4 linked regions of the Tribolium castaneum genome follow. The protein of the gene in region 1 binds, or shares a complex with, the protein of each later gene. Links are inferred from orthologs where the notes say so. Each region holds a gene or a part of one and is shown in the gene's direction. Other genes may lie near its edges.

Evidence for each region. The genes of interacting proteins can lie anywhere in the genome.
Region 2: Mgtor (region 1) and Nup54 share a complex: the UniProt entries of both Drosophila melanogaster proteins name them as parts of the nuclear pore complex. The link is inferred for Tribolium castaneum from reciprocal best matches to the Drosophila melanogaster genes Mgtor and Nup54.
Region 3: Mgtor (region 1) and Nup98-96 share a complex: the UniProt entries of both Drosophila melanogaster proteins name them as parts of the nuclear pore complex. The link is inferred for Tribolium castaneum from reciprocal best matches to the Drosophila melanogaster genes Mgtor and Nup98-96.
Region 4: Mgtor (region 1) and E3 SUMO-protein ligase RanBP2 share a complex: the UniProt entries of both Drosophila melanogaster proteins name them as parts of the nuclear pore complex. The link is inferred for Tribolium castaneum from reciprocal best matches to the Drosophila melanogaster genes Mgtor and Nup358.

Annotation. Positions count from the first base shown.
Region 1 is NC_087394.1:8,225,140-8,229,433, forward strand, and holds part of Mgtor (nucleoprotein TPR), read left to right. Parts: intron 1-1,415; coding exon 1,416-4,294. UniProt on the Drosophila melanogaster protein: Component of the nuclear pore complex (NPC), a complex required for the trafficking across the nuclear envelope. Functions as a scaffolding element in the nuclear phase of the NPC.
Region 2 is NC_087397.1:2,066,529-2,070,930, reverse strand, and holds the start of Nup54 (probable nucleoporin Nup54), read left to right. Parts: upstream 1-1,206; 5' UTR 1,207-1,306; coding exon 1,307-1,364; intron 1,365-1,820; exon of another isoform or gene 1,821-2,496; intron 2,497-2,546; exon of another isoform or gene 2,547-3,290; coding exon 3,291-4,031; intron 4,032-4,077; coding exon 4,078-4,402. Other genes in the region: sra (protein sarah), read right to left, coding at 100-572, 618-810. UniProt on the Drosophila melanogaster protein: Component of the nuclear pore complex (NPC), a complex required for the trafficking across the nuclear envelope. Essential for the nuclear import of nuclear localization signal (NLS)-containing proteins in an importin alpha/importin beta-dependent manner.
Region 3 is NC_087403.1:3,513,946-3,518,567, reverse strand, and holds the start of Nup98-96 (nuclear pore complex protein Nup98-Nup96), read left to right. Parts: upstream 1-1,426; 5' UTR 1,427-1,618; coding exon 1,619-1,682; intron 1,683-1,732; coding exon 1,733-1,861; intron 1,862-3,602; coding exon 3,603-4,366; intron 4,367-4,622. Other genes in the region: uncharacterized protein LOC656938, read left to right, coding at 1-319, 372-500, 550-680, 727-1,070, 1,114-1,227, 1,281-1,348. UniProt on the Drosophila melanogaster protein: Part of the nuclear pore complex (NPC). Required for MAD import as part of the Nup107-160 complex and required for nuclear export of Moe probably via its association with Rae1. Plays a role in nuclear mRNA export.
Region 4 is NC_087394.1:28,910,837-28,915,192, forward strand, and holds the start of E3 SUMO-protein ligase RanBP2, read left to right. Parts: upstream 1-1,160; 5' UTR 1,161-1,300; coding exon 1,301-1,375; intron 1,376-3,152; coding exon 3,153-3,378; intron 3,379-3,429; coding exon 3,430-4,356. Other genes in the region: Ars2 (serrate RNA effector molecule homolog), read right to left, coding at 1-22, 373-531, 579-700. UniProt on the Drosophila melanogaster protein: E3 SUMO-protein ligase. Component of the nuclear pore complex (NPC), a complex required for trafficking across the nuclear envelope.

The DNA of each region.
Region 1 (4,294 bases):
ATGCAAAAATTATTGGAATTCAAAATAGTAATTTAAATAAATGTATTCTATTTCCTAAAATATTAACCATTGTATCTTCTGAAAAATATTGTTATTTAATGGCAATTCTGAATTATGAGTGGTTAACATATTTGAATTCATCTCAAAAAATGAATAAGCGAGTGTTTTATGTCTTGTGACTATCTTGTGACATTTTTATCGCACTTCTGTCACTTCTCACAAAAATAAATAAATAAATAGAATGCACTTAATGTGCATCTACTTCTGCCAATTTGTGGCTAGGCGTCTCATTTCTCATAGAAGAAAAATTATTACAATTAATATAGTTTGTAAATTTTATGAAGTACTTACCATTTTCTAAAATATGGCACTTTAACTATCACTTTTTAACACCTCACTTGTTGGCAATAAATAGAAAAATAAATATAACGGACTTATTTTATTTATACCTACTTCCGCTACAGTTTATAGCAACATACTAAAAAAATTAAAAACAAAATCAATACACTTTATTCATATTATTACATATTCGTTTCACTTGGGAGGGGGACATTAAGAATAAAATGTACTTATGTAACTTTATGGTATCTTTTTCTGGCACAGTTTTTAGCAAGTCCCATCAGATTATCTTCTTAATTACTTGAAAATATTACAAACTTAATATAATTTTCTAAAAGAACTTTTAAACTGTAAAATTTTTATTTTATTTATGAGGCGTCTCTTCACGACCAAAAGTATCAAATAAACTGAATAAAATTAAACGGCGCAACAATAATTGTGTAAAAATATCGGATAAAATCTCACCAAAAAAATTTTTGTGAGATAAGTAATGGTTCTAAGGTGGAAAACAAAGAGGTTCGTCTGTTTCATTGATTTTTGTTACGACTTCGTTACTTAAGGTTTTTTTGAGGTACCTACCTGACAATTACAGGGATGTGCATTTTTTAAGATCTAATCCTTGAAACTTATTACTTGAGCAAAATTGACAACACAGTTACACTTTAGCAAAATCTTTTTTGTAATTTCGTTATTTTAAAAGATACACAACAAAACTATGAATAATAAATGCACCAATTTTTTTCAATTATTTGTGTAAGTGGAATAACACAAAATTGTAGTTATTTTTTGTGTAAACATTAAAGCTTTAATATTTTAATAATCATATTGGAAACTGATCATCTAGAAAGTACTACTAAAATAGTAGTTACTCACTGAAATTAAAAAAATAGGTATATAAAAAATTACCGAATGGTTATCTATGAGGTACTAGTATTGGGAGAAACTCAAAAAATAGAGAAAGGAATCCTGAAGAATTACTTCGCTTCTTCGTTGAAATTGCAGTTTTTTTTACCGGGCGCTAATTAATATTTGTAAATTATTTTTACTATAATAATAATAAAACATTTTTGGCACAGGTTCAACAAATGCTGAAGCACGCGACTGATGAATACGGAGAACTGGAAACGAAACACAAAGAAATGGAATTAACTCACGAAGAAATTTTGGCTAAGAAGAATGAATGTATCACATTATTAAAGAAAGAATTAGAAACATCAAAAGAACTTTTAGAAAACTGCAAACAAGACCAAATACAAAAAGAAATCGAAGGTTTATCACCATCTGCAGCATCAGCATCACGTCTCTTAAAATCAGGAATGACAGTAACAGAAATTTACACACAATACGTAACAATTTCGGAACGACTGATCGACGTGGAGAAAGAAAATGCCCAATTGAAAAACTACATTAGCAGCATTGTTCACGAAGTTGAAGAAAAAGGACCACTAATTAAAAAACTACGCGAGGATTATAGCAACGCTTTGGACGCAAACGAAATATTAAAAAATTCAAACGATCAGTTGTTGAACGAAATCCAACAATTGCGCGAAGCCAACGTTCAGTGCACTAGAGTTGAGGAAGCCGTTTCAAGAGAGAATGCAAGATATAAGAAGGAAGTAGCTGATTTAAGCCGTCAAGTGTGCCATTTATTGCAGGAAATTGAAAATTCGAGAGTTGGTTCGTCTTCAACTTCGACTGACATGGACTTGAGCGATAGCGTCAGCTCTGCCGATATTATTACGAAAAAGTTGGTCACTTTTAACGATATTTCCGAGTTGCAAAAGAACAACCAAAAGTTACTTGCCATTGTTCGCGAATTGACAGAACGCCAGGAAGAAGCGGAAGCTTTTGATCCAGCGGCAATTTCCGATTTAAAAATGAAACTTGATCATTTGAGGGAATCTCAGAATGAACTGCTTGAAGAACGTGAACGTCACAATAAAATGATGATTACTTTAGGCAATCAGAGAGATATGTACAAGAACTTGTATACACAAGCTGTTAAAGCTGCAGGGGAAGAGGTTCCTTCTCAACTCGACTCTTCATTCAGTTTGAAAGAAACCAACGGGGAACACGACAAAAGCCACGATAATGAATCTCAAAGTGACGACAAAACACAAGAATTGCTCACACAGATTGAAAGTTTCCGGAAAAAAATCGAACACTTGAAGAATGAGAACGAACTATACCGTAAAGAAAAATCAGAGAATGAAAAAATTCTGCTAGAACAGTTAGAAAACATGAGGGCAGAAGTGAAAGAATTGGTTAAAGCCAACTGTAAGTTGCTTTCGCAACAGGAGAATAGTGACGAGAAGTTTAAAATTGCACAAAACAATATTGAAATTTACAAGAAACAGATCACGGCGTTGGAGAAACAGAATAAAATTTACAGCGAAACGATCATCAAGCATGAGCAAGCGATAACGTATCTTAAGGACGAAACAATGCAATCGCAAACGAAACTTGCAAGAGCTGAAGTAATGTTGGCAAATCTTCAGAAGGAGAATGCGTTACTTAAGGACGCAGAGATGCGTTTGCTTAAAGAACGCGAAAGCATAAAACGAGAGTCACACACGCAAAATATGATCCAAAGCAACATTGAATTGATTAAAGCAACGTTAGAACGCACAGACGCCGAAGGAAAATTGAGGCTGGAAGCGAGGTTGGATGAAGCACACCGTGAATGTGCCGCGTTAAGACGCCGATTACAGGAGGAACAAGACAGGTTTAGACAACTGTCCGAACATTTGGAAAGCCAAACACAACTTGCCAAACAACGTATGGGTGAGGAACAAGCCGAAGCGGAAAAACTACGAAAGGAATTAGCCAATAACAGGGAGGAATTGATCCAGAAAGCCAATCAAATCGAAGATTTGACCAAGAAACTCAAAACTTCTGCGTACGCAATACCGGAAAGTAACATCGATGGAAAACGAATCCGCGAATTGGAGCAACAACTAAGCGATGCTAAGGCCGAAATTGAAGCTTTGAGTTCGAAATTGAAAACATCGCGTGAAGCGGCTGAGCAATATTCCAACGTTGCAAGCAATGCTGAGAATCAAATGACGATTTTAATGGAAAAACAGAAAGAATTGGAGGAGAAGATCGAAAGTCAGAAGAACACGATCAAGCAGTTGCAGGAAAAATGCGCCGAGCTGGAGGGAGAATTATCGTTGCAAATGGATGATCAAGACATGGCAAATGCAAGCACTCGTAGCAAATCAACACAGTTGGAAGAGGAGCTAAATGTGAAAAATATGGACTTGCAAACGGCCCGCGAACAGTTGGAAAATATCCGAAATGAGAACAAATCACTCATCGAAAGTCTGAAAGCCGTTGAAAATAAGTTTGCGAGACAAGTGATGTTGCATTCGGCCGATCTACAAATGCTTACTGATATTAAAGCCGACTATGAGAAAGCCACAAATGAATTAATCGAAATGAGACGAAGTCGTGACTGTGCTTTGGAAGAACTCGACAATAATAAAGCTAGCTGGGAGACGCGGGAAAAAATGATCCAGAAAGAACGGGAAGAGTTGGAGCAACGTTTCAAAGACATGGATGCGCAAAACAGTCTATTGTTGGACCAGATTCAAGCTCTCAATACGCAACTATCTGTCCTTCAGGCACAAGCTACCGCAGAACCAAACCAATCGGCCGACTTATCGATGAGTAAATCGTTCACTGAGGACGAAGTCAAGTCTTCCGAACAGTTGCTCACTATAATTAAATATTTGCGACAAGAGAAAGACATTGCTGTAAGTAAATCCGAAATCATGGAAGCCGAATACGAGCGGTTGAAGTCACAACATGAGATGCTAACCAAACAGTTGGAGGAAGCCAAAGCTGCGGTCGAAACCGAGCGACAGAAGTCGGAAGTTTCGGTCGTGACGGCAGCCAAACATGCCGAAGTTTTACGCAAAGTTGAGACACTCAACGCTATCACTGATAGCAA
Region 2 (4,402 bases), on another chromosome or scaffold:
CATAATAAATGAGTGACAGATTCTACATAGAGAGAAATTGACATATTGAGAGGCTCTGAAGCTCACACTTAAAATAACCTTGAAGACCTGTACAAATCATTAACTCCGTTCCGGACACGACGTCTGTGGCATCCTGCCTTTGGCCCCCACGCCGTCCGCCCCCAGGGCCGTGTGCACCACGATGCTGGGCTGGCCGGGGGAGGGGGGGTGCACCTCGTGCGACGCCCCCGGCGTGAGGGTGGCCAAAGCTGCAAGAAGGTCATGATTGATAATGGGCTCACCTTCCGGCCGGGGCTCCCAGTCGAGGGGGGGCGACGCCGGCGGCGAGATTAGGAACTGCTTGAAGGGGGCTGGCGGCTGCAGGCTGGGGTTTTTGACGGGGGTGACGGGTTGAGCAAAGTAACACGTAATCACTGAGTCGTTGATTTTGTATTGGTGGAGCTGAATGCGGGCGCTGGCGGCTGCCACGGGCGTCTGGAAGTTCACTCTCAGTCTTCGGAAACTGCGCAGCCACTGGAATGTCACGTCCGGGTCGAAGTTCCGGAACAGGTTCTCCATTTCGCGCTTTTTCTCTGCAATTTTACGGTCAGATCGGGTGAGGGCTGGGGGCGGATTACCGGGCGAGGTGAAGACACTGTCGTGGATGTTGGTGACGATGAGGGACGTCGGCAGGTCCTCGAACTCGTCGTCGGTCACATGCTCGGGGCTGTCGATGTCGGCCTCCGCCAGCAGGTTGGGGTGCACGTTGGGAAGGCCGTCTTGGTCGTTAATGATGATATCGTCGTCCATTTCGCCGTTGCTTTCAGCCATTGAAAAATTGGATTAAATTCACCGACACAGGATCTACCGCGGTTTAAACCCCATAAAACAATGCGCACTTTTTCGGCTAAACTAATCAAGGCTAACTCTTACGCTACTAAATTTTAACACAAAAACATTGCAATATCAAAGTGCAAAAAACACAACCCAACAATTGCAAATGCCAAATGTCAGGAATGAATGACACTTGACAAGGGGATGAAAGCCGAAAGTTCGCCAGCCCGAATTGAAATACAAAGGAATGAGCTTAAAAAAACGTAAAACCCTGAAATGGATAGATTTCCAGATAATTAACATAAACACATGAGCGACTTTTTGATTTCGTATTTTTTTGTACAGAAAACGCTGAAATTTTGTGAAATTGCCGGTGTATAACCTAGGTTTGAAGTTTGACAGTTCTGTCAATTCGTTAAGTTCAATTTGTGAATACATAAAAAATTGTAATTACTATTTTTATATAAATACTAACGTTAAATTTAATGCAGTTATGGCATTTTCGTTCGGAAATGCAAACCAGTCGACTTTTGGAAGCCCGGCAAATAAACGTAAGTTTTAGAACCGTAAGAAAGTTAGGTTAAGTTCTTTCTATTTTGTTATTTGGTATTCACGGTTTTATTTATTTTCCCTTTAAACCGTAATTAATGAGATTTAATTTTGCCCAAAACGCCTGACTAATGTTTGTGTTCTTAATTTTTAACCAGAAAAAATCGAAAAAGTGGCAGCGTTTTGTACCATTCAGACTCAACAATACAAATCACCACACTTTTTACAGATAAAATGTTAATTGGTGTTTTAAATGGTTATAAAATTTAATTGTGATGATTGTTAACGTGTGAGTAACAATTCAACAATTTTTGTTTGAAACAAATCGCTAAAAAATGTTTTGTTTAGTGTTTAACTTAAATTTTTTGTCACGTCTGTGCTGCACAGTACACAAAAGTAATTTCATTACTTAACTGATAAAACATGAAAAACTGGACGTGTTCAATAAAAAACCTAGATTATAATTTATAAACCAAGAATTTATTTCGGCAATAACATTTTGAGGATATAAATAAACCTACCTAAGCGAGTAACAAAAATATAATGATAGTAAAATATAACAGATTATCACAAATATAATTAATACGATTTCATTCTTCCGTTTGAGATGGTAACTTGGCTCAAATCGGTTGCACAATCAAGCGATCCTGAACGGCTGGCTTTATATCGCTTATAAACGACGATAAGAATGACGATAATTAAGAGCAGACTGACGATTATAACTCCCAAAACAACGTACAAAGTTTTTCCCTCAACGTCGTATCCTTCGTAATATATTTGGTTCGAAACATCCGTAGTTGAAGAAAATACGTCAAGTGGGGTTGAAGTTGTATTTTGTGTACTGTTTTTTATTTCGGCCACTGCTGAAGTGATGTTGTTTTCAAAAATACCGATTGTTTCGGTCGTACTGTCGGTCACTTCGGTTATCACGGTGGTAATCGTTGTTGTAATATTTTGAGAAATCTCAGGAGTGGTAGCAGTTTCTGCAGTAACCGTACTGTTGGTTATTTCGCTGATGAGGGTAGTAGCTGGGGGAGTGAAACTCTGCCCAATTTTGAGTACGTTTTGATCGTCTGTGACTTGAAGGGTCGTTCCAAAACTTTTAGTAGCCCCTTTGATAGGAAATGAGAATAGCTAGAATCGGAATTTTTAAATCCAACTTGAAAAATAAAAATTAAACTCACCGTAGGGCCCGACATTGTGCTTTTTATTAGCGAAGGAAAAACACTTAACTCTGCAAGAACTTATCGGCGACTGAAAGTTTCTTTCCACGCTTTGAATTTTTATCGCTGGTGTTTATATGTGCGAACACGGTTTTCCTGCTTTCCTTCCATTCGCAGTAAAATAACAACCCGGGGATGAGTCACAAAATGCTGTTTAATGCAATTTCTTGTGGTTGGGATAAATAAAATCCGTCATTTTGTGATAACAAATTGGGAAAGCGGCACTGCAGTCGAAAAAAACTTGTTTTGAAATTATCTACGTGTTTAAATTCTTTTTAAAAAATTTGACTGGAATGACACTTGAAGGATTGAAATAATTTCATTTATTTCGTGTTTATTTCGTTTTTGCATAAATTTAAGTCTTAACAACAGCGTATTTTTTGCACGATAAGTATTCGCATAGTTCAAGTTTGACTTGCATTTTTTACCGAGGAGTAGTTTCCGTTTGGTCATTTCCCCGTAACAAATACTTTTTTCATGGAAATTCTTTTCTTTTCGTTGAAACAACCCAAATAGAAAAATAAATAATTTCAGGATTGTGGTTTCGTAGCCATTTCCTTTGGAAAACTACAAATTTCGCTGAATTTATTCAATTTATTCGATTTTTCCTGAATTAAAACGCACACTTCTTATCGTCTTAGATTATTTATTAATTTTTGTAAACACCTAGTCATAGTTTTATGTTTTTCCAATGTTTATCCACAGCCACCGCATTCGGTACCCCATTTGGGGTAACCACCACCACGGCTAGTACCGGCTTCGGCAGTTTCGGCTCTTCCTTCGGAGCCACTTCGCAGCCGTCGACCGGTTTCGGCTCAACTTTCGGAGCCCCAGCTCAATCTTCAGGTTTCGGTAGTACTTTCGGTACTCCTGCAACTTCCACTCCAGCATTTGGTTCGACTTTCGGAGCCCCAGCATCAACCTCAGCCCCGACATTCGGTACCGGCTTCGGTCAATCGACCGGCGGCGGCCTTTTCGGTACTTCCACAACCAAACCAACCCTTTTCGGAACTCCCACCACTTCAACCTCGTTATTTTCGACCCCTAGTTCGGCCCCCAGTTTATTCGGGAGCGGTACCACCACACAAGCCCCAAGTCTTTTCGGGGGGGTCACCACCTCGACTCCTAGTTTATTCGGAGCTGGCAGTACCCCAGCTCCGAGTTTGTTCGGTACTGCGACAACTTCGGCCCCGAGTTTATTCGGGACTTCGTTCGGGGGCACGGCCACCACTTCGGGGGGGCTGTTTGGGGGGAGTACAACAGGGGGAGGGTTTGGTTTATTCGGGGGTACTACTACGACGAGTGCGCCGTCGTTGTTTGGGGGGTTTGGGGCTACGCAAACAACAGGGGGGTTTGGGGGTTTTGGGACTAGTGGAGGGTTCGGTCAACAGACACAAGGGAGTTTGTTTGGGGGCGGGTTTGGGGCCAAGCCGGCACAACCTCCAGGTAAGTACCCGACTAGCAATTACAGGAACCTGTAATTTTTGTGTAGGGTTTGCGCAAAATGCGCTCACAACACAGCAACAACAAAACCAACTTGTGATCCAATCGATTTACGCTATTAATATTTATAATGATGAGAGGGATGATATTTTGAAAAAGTGGAATTTGTTGCAAGCTTGTTGGGGTACGGGGAAAGGGTACTACAGTGCGAATCAACCGCCGGTTGAATACACAGTTCATAACCCGTTTTATCGGTTCAAAGCAGTCGGTTATAACATAATTCCCGAACATGATAACACGGAAGGTATAGTCAAGTTGATTTTTAACCGGAAATATGCCGAGCTTAGTTCACAAAAGCAAGTTCTAATCAATGG
Region 3 (4,622 bases), on another chromosome or scaffold:
GATCATGGAACACGCTGCCGTGACTCTCGGCATAGACCCGACCGACTTCAGACTTAAAAACATGAAGGCGGAGCACGATTTGCTTGCACAGTTCGTCAAAGAACTGTACAAGTGGGCTGATATTGACGTGCGCAAGCAACAAATCAAGAGATTCAATGAGGAGAACCGCTGGAGGAAGAAGGGATTGGCGGTTGTGCCAATGGTTTATCATTTCCATCTTTTTGGCAACTATGAGGTCGTTGTTTCCGTCTATAAATCGGACGGGAGTGTGGCAATCGCGCACGGGGGAGTCGAGATGGGGCAAGGTATCAACACTAAGGTGACCAGTGACTTTGTTTAAATTTGAACTAATCGTACACGTGTAATTGAAGGTCATTCAAGTGTGTGCCTACAAGTTGAAAATTCCAGTCGAAAAAATTTCGGTCAAGCCTAGCAATAATTTGATCGCGCCTAATGCCCACATGGTCGGTGGTAGCTTAACATCGGAAACAGTTTGTCACGTATTACCTCACTCTTGTTTTTTTTGTTTTTCTCAAATATCTATCACAGGGTGTGATTAAAGCGTGCGATATCCTGTTAGAACGCATGGAACCGGTCAAAAAACAGCTCGAAAATGCCAGTTGGGAGGAAATTGTGCAAGAATGTTACAATCAATATGTTAACTTGTCGGCCTCTTCAATGTATAAGTGATTCGTTAAGTAATTAATTTCCGAATAATGTTTTTAGGGGTAGCCCTTCCGAACTGAAAAATTACGCGATTTACGGCGTTTGCTCCTCCGAAATAGAGCTGGACGTTTTAACCGGGCAATATATCGTGCAAAGGGTTGATTTACTCGAAGATGCCGGTACTAGCATGAACGCTGGTATCGATATGGGGCAAGTCGAGGGCGCGTTTGTCATGGGCATGGGTTATTTCACGTCGGAGAAGATTATTTTTAGCGAAAGCGGCGAGTTGTTGACCAATCGCACTTGGAATTATAAACCACCAGGCGCGAGGGACGTTCCAGTTGATTTTAGGATCAAATTTCCGGGCGATACGCCCAATGGCGTTGGAGTTCTCAATTCCAAAGGTAAATAGCTTGAATATGGAATCATAACTGTGGAAAATTGTAGCTATCGGGGAACCACCGCTATGTTTGGCGTGTTCAGTCCCGTTGGCGATACGCAACGCCGTTGCGAGTGCCAGAAAGGAAACGAGAAATTCGTGCGATGAATGGTATCCTTTTTGTGAGTTTTTTGTTAATTTGTTACATAATTGGATAATGAATACAATTTTGTAGCGGGACCCTCAACTGTGGAAGACGTTTTCACGAACTGCTTACACGATTTTAAGCAATATACGTTGTAAAATAAAAAATTGTATTAATTGGTTTGGTTTAATAAATGATAGCTGCGCAGTTTGAATTTAATTTCGCGCCACTCGCAGGTGGCGCCACCGCTTTTTACAATAAAAACAAGATGGTTGTCGTAAATAAAATTTGCGGTAGTTTAACCGTCTGTTGTGTTTTTGTGGCAAAATATTAGTAAAAACCGTCGTGTTTTAATGTGGTGTTAATGAAAATCAATCGCTGCATCTCCTGTGATTTCTATGGATGCCTAACCAATTGTGGTCGTAAATATGTATCCCAACTTTATGAATAAGCCAGCATTCATGAATAACCCACCGAATTCAACTTTTGGGGGTAAGTTTGCCGAACTGAATCGGTGGTTGTTACCGTGGTTGGTTTTCTAGCGTCCACTTCGACTTTCGGACAACCTGCCCCCAACACCTCTATGTTTTCATCAATGCAGCCCTCGAACATCTTCCAGTCTGCGAGCACCTCGTCCTTCGCATCGGCGCCCACAAGCCAAACCAGCTTCGGTACGTACACCCAACAGTTGTTAAAGTTAGTAGGAAACAGAAGTAGTATAACCTCACACTTGCCCCCATGATTGCCCATTATTGTGCAACACGTTCCCTTTTTGTTTACTAACACCAAATACACTAATTTGTATTTTACTAACCCGTATGATGAGAATTGAGTTGGTTTGCGCGAATGAGAGAGTGATTTTTGACAGATCAGCATTGCGATAATAAAGCGTCTCGAATTTGTATTAATTTTATTATGATTGTGACAGTTGAGCCGCCTCTCCCGCTGTCTCCAGATGAGGAGAACTACCTGACGGCCGCCTGTGAGTTTCTATTTTTTTGTTACTTTCAATATTTTTCATGAATTTTTTACAGATAATCGCGAAGCTATACGTAGATTTGAGGTGCAGGGTGGTGGTGAGTAATATTGTTCTACTACAGCCTCGTTTACGTTTCCTTGTCTTTTCAAAATGTACATTCTTTTTTTAAAAAAATAAATAAATATGTAAAAATAAAACAGATAACGTTTCCTTATGAAGTTATGACGGAATATCCCATACAACTCTTGTAAAAAGACGATACTCTCTAGGTCTTTTATTTTTTGTATACAGGGTGACCTGACTAATATTTCTATGCCGTTTTCATGAATTCATAGATCTACTCCAAGTACAAACTAAACACCTTATATATAACATAGTTACATTCCACGTAAAAAATAATGTAACCTTTATACTTTTATACTATTAATAGTATCTTTTTCCTGGAGATTGTACACATTAGAACTAGAACTCGCAGACGTTTATTATTCTCACAGAATTCAAGAGTTCAACTAATAAAATAAAAAACAAAGTTATAAGGCATTTTACTTGATTTTAGATAGCCCGGGCTTGGTTGATCCAGCCATTTTGAGATACGCTGGTGCTGGTGAGTTTTTTTGTCATAAATTTATCTTTATTATTTTCTGGAATTTTTAGGTGAGATTTCTCCCAGACCACCGTATCCCGAATTTCATTCACCTCGCGCTGCTGAGCCGGGACCCTCTGGTAAATCGAAATTATTGTTAAGTTGGAATTGTTTCTATATTTTTTTTTATTTAGGAGAACAGAGAGTTCCACAGCCATTAAGCCCGTTTACTATTACACGTAAGTTAATTTAAGGTATTACGTATATATTAAGTAATTTTCAATAGGCCAAGATGGTAGACCTCTTAACCGACAATTGACCCAATATCTTCAAAGTAGTAAGTATTGCGACAGTTGAGCTTTTCGATTTTATTTTCTTTTAAGTTGGTGGTGGCGGTATTTCAGTTGCTTCATGTGTTTGTAAGTAACGGTTTGTTATTTTCGGCCAAAATTTTTTTAAATATTTGATAGGTACAACAACCAGTTCTATGACTTATTCTATGGCCAATATTTCCGATCCAGAGTTTGGTAAGCTAAGTCGATTGAAACAATTAATTTAAAAGATTCATAGGTTTAGCTGATGAGACAATGAGCGCCCATTGTAAGTATACTTCTTGTCTCATATATCGGGAGACACTCCTATGATTTGTATTTATTTGGTTATTTTATTTTATTGTTTAGCTAGTTTAACTAGGATGTCTTGTAAGTCGTCGTCTGGTAAGTGAGATATTCAATGATGGTTTTAACGGAATGATGTGTGATCCCTATCCATATCCTTTTTTTTTCCCAAGCACAGAATGGGCAATAGTCCGATATTTCATCATTCAGTTTCTTAATAAATCTGTCTGTAGGCACAAATCCCTTTGGCCAGCAACCACAACCATCAACTAGCGGTTTATTCGGTGGCTCAAATGCATTCACTCAAAATAAATCATTCGGATTCGGCTCGGCCCCTCCTCAGCCCGGATTATTCGGCCAACAGCCGCAACAACAACCCGGAACCTCTCTTTTCCAATCAAACACTAATACAATGTTATTCGGAAGTAACGCTTTCGGAAACCAGACCACCGGCACTGTTATTAAATTCAATCCGGTTACGGGGACCGACACCATGCAAAAAAACGGGGTAACCCAGTCGATAAGTACCAAACACCACTGCATCACGTGCATGAAAGAATACGAGAATAAATCGCTGGAAGAGTTGCGATTTGAGGACTATTCGGTTAACCGGAAAGGACCCCAACAACAGGCCGGTTTCGGAAGCACCCCTTTCGGGGCTTCGACCACTACAACGCCCTCGCTTTTCGGGCAAACTGATAACAAACCCGCCTTCGGACAACAACCGCAAGCATTCGGCCAGGCGCCGGCTTTCGGACAAACAACACCAGCTTTCGGATCGACCAACACGACAAGCACTCCGACTTTGTTCGGAAAACCGAACACTTTCGGCGCTACCACTAGCACCCCAAGTTTTGGGTTTAATGTCACACCGGCAACCAACCCTTTCAGCGCTAATCAAGGCGCCAAACCCTTCTCCCAACCCCTGTTCGGGACACAAACCACGCAAGCGCCCGCCACCTTCGGGGCCGGCGTTTTCGGCCAAACGAACACCCAGGTAAGCGCGGTTTTACTTCAAATTTCCGCGATTTTTGTGCTTTTAAGTGCGATAGTGCACGATAATTTTTACTTTAATTATAAATTTATATATCGTCGTTTATAAAAATTTTATTAGGATTATAATTTTGCAAGATATTCAGTACTTATTTATTAAGTAAAGTATTTTTGACCTTCTAAAGCTTATAAAGAATTATATAATGTAAATTAAAATGCATTAAAAATAAAGTAAAACAAATCAATGCACTGACCTTATG
Region 4 (4,356 bases), about 21 Mb from region 1:
TTCTCTGAAGAAATTACCAGCTCTTTGAAAATAGAAGATCACGCGTTAGTAACTGTTATTTTAAATTAAAACCGAAACAAAACGAAATCTAAAATAACAATTAAAACATGCGACTAATTACGATAAACATTCAGATACAGTTTGAGGAAACAATGAACGGTATTTTCTATAAAAATGCAAACCATGCAAGGCGATAAAATAAAACACACAATGGGGCAAAAGTCATTAGCAATTCCCTATTCTAGATTTCTTAACTGATATTATGTAAACAGCTAAAGCAGTTTTTAATTACGAGCATCATAATTTTTTTAATAAACCTTGAACGCTGGTGCACCATTTTTTCCATGCATTTTAGCAAAAACCAGCAACTACCTGTGCGAGCTTTGGTGATAGGGCGAGTAATGGTTGTAGTAGCTATCAGCATAGTAATCGTGGCGCAGCCTCTTGGGGGCTGGGTCCAGACTCGGCGAGTATCCCCTGTCTCTCACCCCCGGGCGGTACTCCCGAGGCCTAGGTCGTGACCAAGAGTCACTATAATTTCAACACTAGGACCGAATAAGCCTCGTATTGACTCTTACCGTTCGGCCCAGTCGTCCCTAGGTCTGGCAACCCGTTCGGCCCCCCTGTAAGTGGCTTCGGCGCGTTCACCTCTGAACTTATCGCGGCGTTTGCGGTCGTATTCATCGTCACTATCAGCCATTTCCTGCAATTAAGTCGGGAAAAGTGAGCACTAGCACTGAGCACCATGAGGGTGTAAGTAGTCAAAATGAGGGGGTGCTAACTGCGGGTGGTGGGTTACTGGTCTAGGTGGGTTCGATAGAAGACTCACTTTCTGTTCTAAAAATAATACTTTTGGCGATTTTCCGGCGAAAATTCGGATTTCTCTTGAGGAAGTTGATACAAAATTATGGCCGACACGTCAAAGACGCCGTGGGGGTTTTGCAGCCACCAACCTATGGTGGTATGACTGGTGACGCCGCATTATCGCAACATTTAAACGCAAAAAACTGCTCATTGTGGGATTATTTATTTTTGTTTCAATTACTACAGTCATGTAACTGAGTTGATAAGCTGTAAGAACAGCTACAACAGCCCGTAATTTGCATTTTTAATTTTTTTATTTGGATACCGGTCCCTCCAAAAAAGCAAAATCCCTAGCTTTGATTACTGACGTCAGTTGTAAGATGGTGGACGTCCGTTCGTGCGTTGTGAAATCTCATGTTGTAACGGTTTTATAAACGTTTTCTAAAATTTGTGAAATTGCTCGTTTAAATGTACGTTTGAGTGGACGCTTTTCAAAATGTTTCCCACAAGGAAAGCCGATGTCGATAAACACGTTGAAGAATGCTTGAAGAAGATAAATAACGAGACAGAGGTAAGGTTTTGAAATCGCTGTCATTCCGTTACGCCGGTCGAGAATTTCTCATTTTTTCGCGTTTTGAAAACGCGTTTGCTTATCAGAAAGGGCCCAAAAAACCATCACCCTTATCGATTCCACCTGTCCTAATTTTAAAAATTGCGTATCATTTATTATTGGAAGAATGTCTCACGCATCAATGTCACATGCAGGGAACCTTTGGCGGGAAATTATTTTTAGATTATAAAAATTCTTAAATTACGCTTCGTGTTAGGTCCAATTTGCCAAGATTTTTGGCAGTGTTGGCGAATCGTTGGCCTTTTTTGTTATCCAGCTGAGCCGGCAAGGTCATGCCTAATCAATAAATTGGCTAAACCCTTCTATCATTTGAAATACTCATTAACACAGTTATTAATTATTATATTTTGTAATTATTATTAATTTTGTTACACCTCTTACACCGTGGCGGCTTGAGGGTTCAAGAGTCAGTGAACAGCTAACAGCTAGTACACAATTTTTTTTTGTAGTTAATGATAGCTCCAAGTGCTCCAACATTTCATTTTTAACTTTAAATTTGTATGTGTAATTGTGTATGTATGTAAAAACTCGCCGTTACTTATTACAGAATTTGTCTCTGTATTCTTTAACTAAGTGTAATGTCTGGATTTTTTTTAAACAGCTTTGAGCTACAATCCATAATTTTTGCATTTGGACATGTTATTTCACAAGCTTTATGAATACCTAACTCAAAATCAATAACAATTTTTCTAGAATTAAGAGATAAATTATATATGAACATCTTTTAACAAAGTTGCATATTATTTTTTAGTTTTATTTAGTAACAAATCAAATACTAATGGTACGTAGTGCCCATTCCTAAAGCTATGAACGGTGAACATTTGACAAAAAAATCAGTACAAAATTCGAAGGTAACACCATGAAAAGTGTTTATACTGAACAAATAAATTTCTAAAACAACTAAAGACAATTGTTTTGTTTGTTCATCGACTCAAGATTCAAAATCTTCGTGCTTTTTGGTTTTTAGTTGTAATGTTGCTGCCAAATATTTCTTCTGATTTTCTGGAATCATTTTCTCTTAAGTCATCATCCTAATGTATTATTTTAGAATGTTTTTTACACAAATCTTTAACAGCTTTTTTTTTTACTGAGTTACTGATTATTTGCCGCGATATGGTTGAGTCTATGTTTGTGGAAACCAGAAAACTGTACTATTTTGTCTTCTTGAGGAAACTTCGGATATAATTTGCCACTAGCGTTTTTTACAATTTCTTCAAAAACTTTTCGGAAAAATATAATATTATAATCGTACTCGCACACTCGTAACTTTATTGAGTTATACCGACACTACGATTTTAAAATTCTAATAACTTTTGCTTTATATTGATTCTTCTTTCAATTCCTTTTAATTTTCAAACTGACTCTGGTGGGTATATTTCTAAGAAATTACTGTCTCATTGCATTGTCTCCTTAATGAGTCCCTATTACCTGGCCTACCAAGGGCATAATTGCACCCACTCTGTGGGGTATTGTGGTCGAACTCAGCTATCGGTTTAATCCCTAATTTTAGTATCAAAGGATTATTTTTGCAGCGGTGGACAAAAAAAATCAATGTTGGAGTTACAGTTAGGGTTGAATTGGCCTTCTTATATTATCCTCATATTTTGTCTGCAGTGCGATAAGCTGATAAAACACTAGACTTGATTTGTGATAGCTGATTAACTGTAATATTTCACTAATAAAGATACGTAAAATAGTAAATTTCGTTTTATTACAGCGCAATCTTCGTTGCCTGTCTTTCGCTAAGCAGTATTTCAAAATCGAGCGTTTCGAGGACGCTCGTCGTTACGTCTCGACGTATCTCAGTGCAAGACCAAATTCTGCAGAAGCTCATTGCTTGCTGGGCAAATGCCTGGAAGCACTGGGCCGTAAAGAAGCCGCTCTTCAAGCCTACACGACCAGCCTTCGGCTTGACTCCAAACAAAATAATCTCGTCCTGAAAGGTACGTGAAGGCTTTTTATTTTCTAATTTTTCGGCAACGTTTGCGTTCCAGTTTGCGAACTCTTAGCCTCCGACGACGTGGAAATGGACCATTCCGGTGCTCGGTACTTTTGCGAAATGGCCCAGTCTTTCGACCCTCACAATCCTGCCATCTTCAACCTGAAACAGCGCATCCTCACGTCGGAAAATGACGATCCTCGTGATGTCTCCAATCTGATTTTGAAGGAGTTAGAAACGCGGCCGACTGACGTCAAGTTGCGGGTGCGTCTGTTAAAACATCTCCTGCAACATCATTTGGTGAAAGAGGCGTACAAGCATGCTGCGGATATTGAAGCCAAAGACTTGGCGATTTTTTGCAATGTCACTTGGTACGAAGCCGTAGCCGAGGTCTTGGTCAAGTACCAAAGAACGGTTTCGTTGCCTAACTCGCTCGGTTGGGAGTTTTGGTTTTTGTCGGTCTCCGTTCTGGACAAATTGGCCGCATTGACTTTGTCCGAAACCAGCGAAAATATCAAAACTACAACCGAATACATCAATGCAATATTTAACTTTGACCAAACTTTGACAAAAGCTGCTCTCAACATCGGCGATTGTCCCGACAAACACCTCATTCAAGAATTTCTGAATCACCACAGCGCGCAGTTGTGCTTCCATTTCGTCACTTTGGTGTTTAAACAAGCACAAAAAGATCTTATTAAGTACAAGGAAGCCGCAAATATCACTCTACCGCTACTTTTCGCGGCTTATCACTCACAGCCACCCGATCTACAAAGCATGTGGTTCAACCACGCGCCTGAAAATCGCAGAAATTTGGTACGGAGGTGGCGAAAGGAAGCCGCGTTCAGGTGTTCACAAGCCGGGCATGTTTTACAAGCGGCTGCCAAAGACCGGAAGTCGATACTCATCGAGAAAGCCAACCAGTATTCAGTGGGCATGTGGCGAGAGCAATTGTTTAAAAAATTGTTCGTCACACGTGACC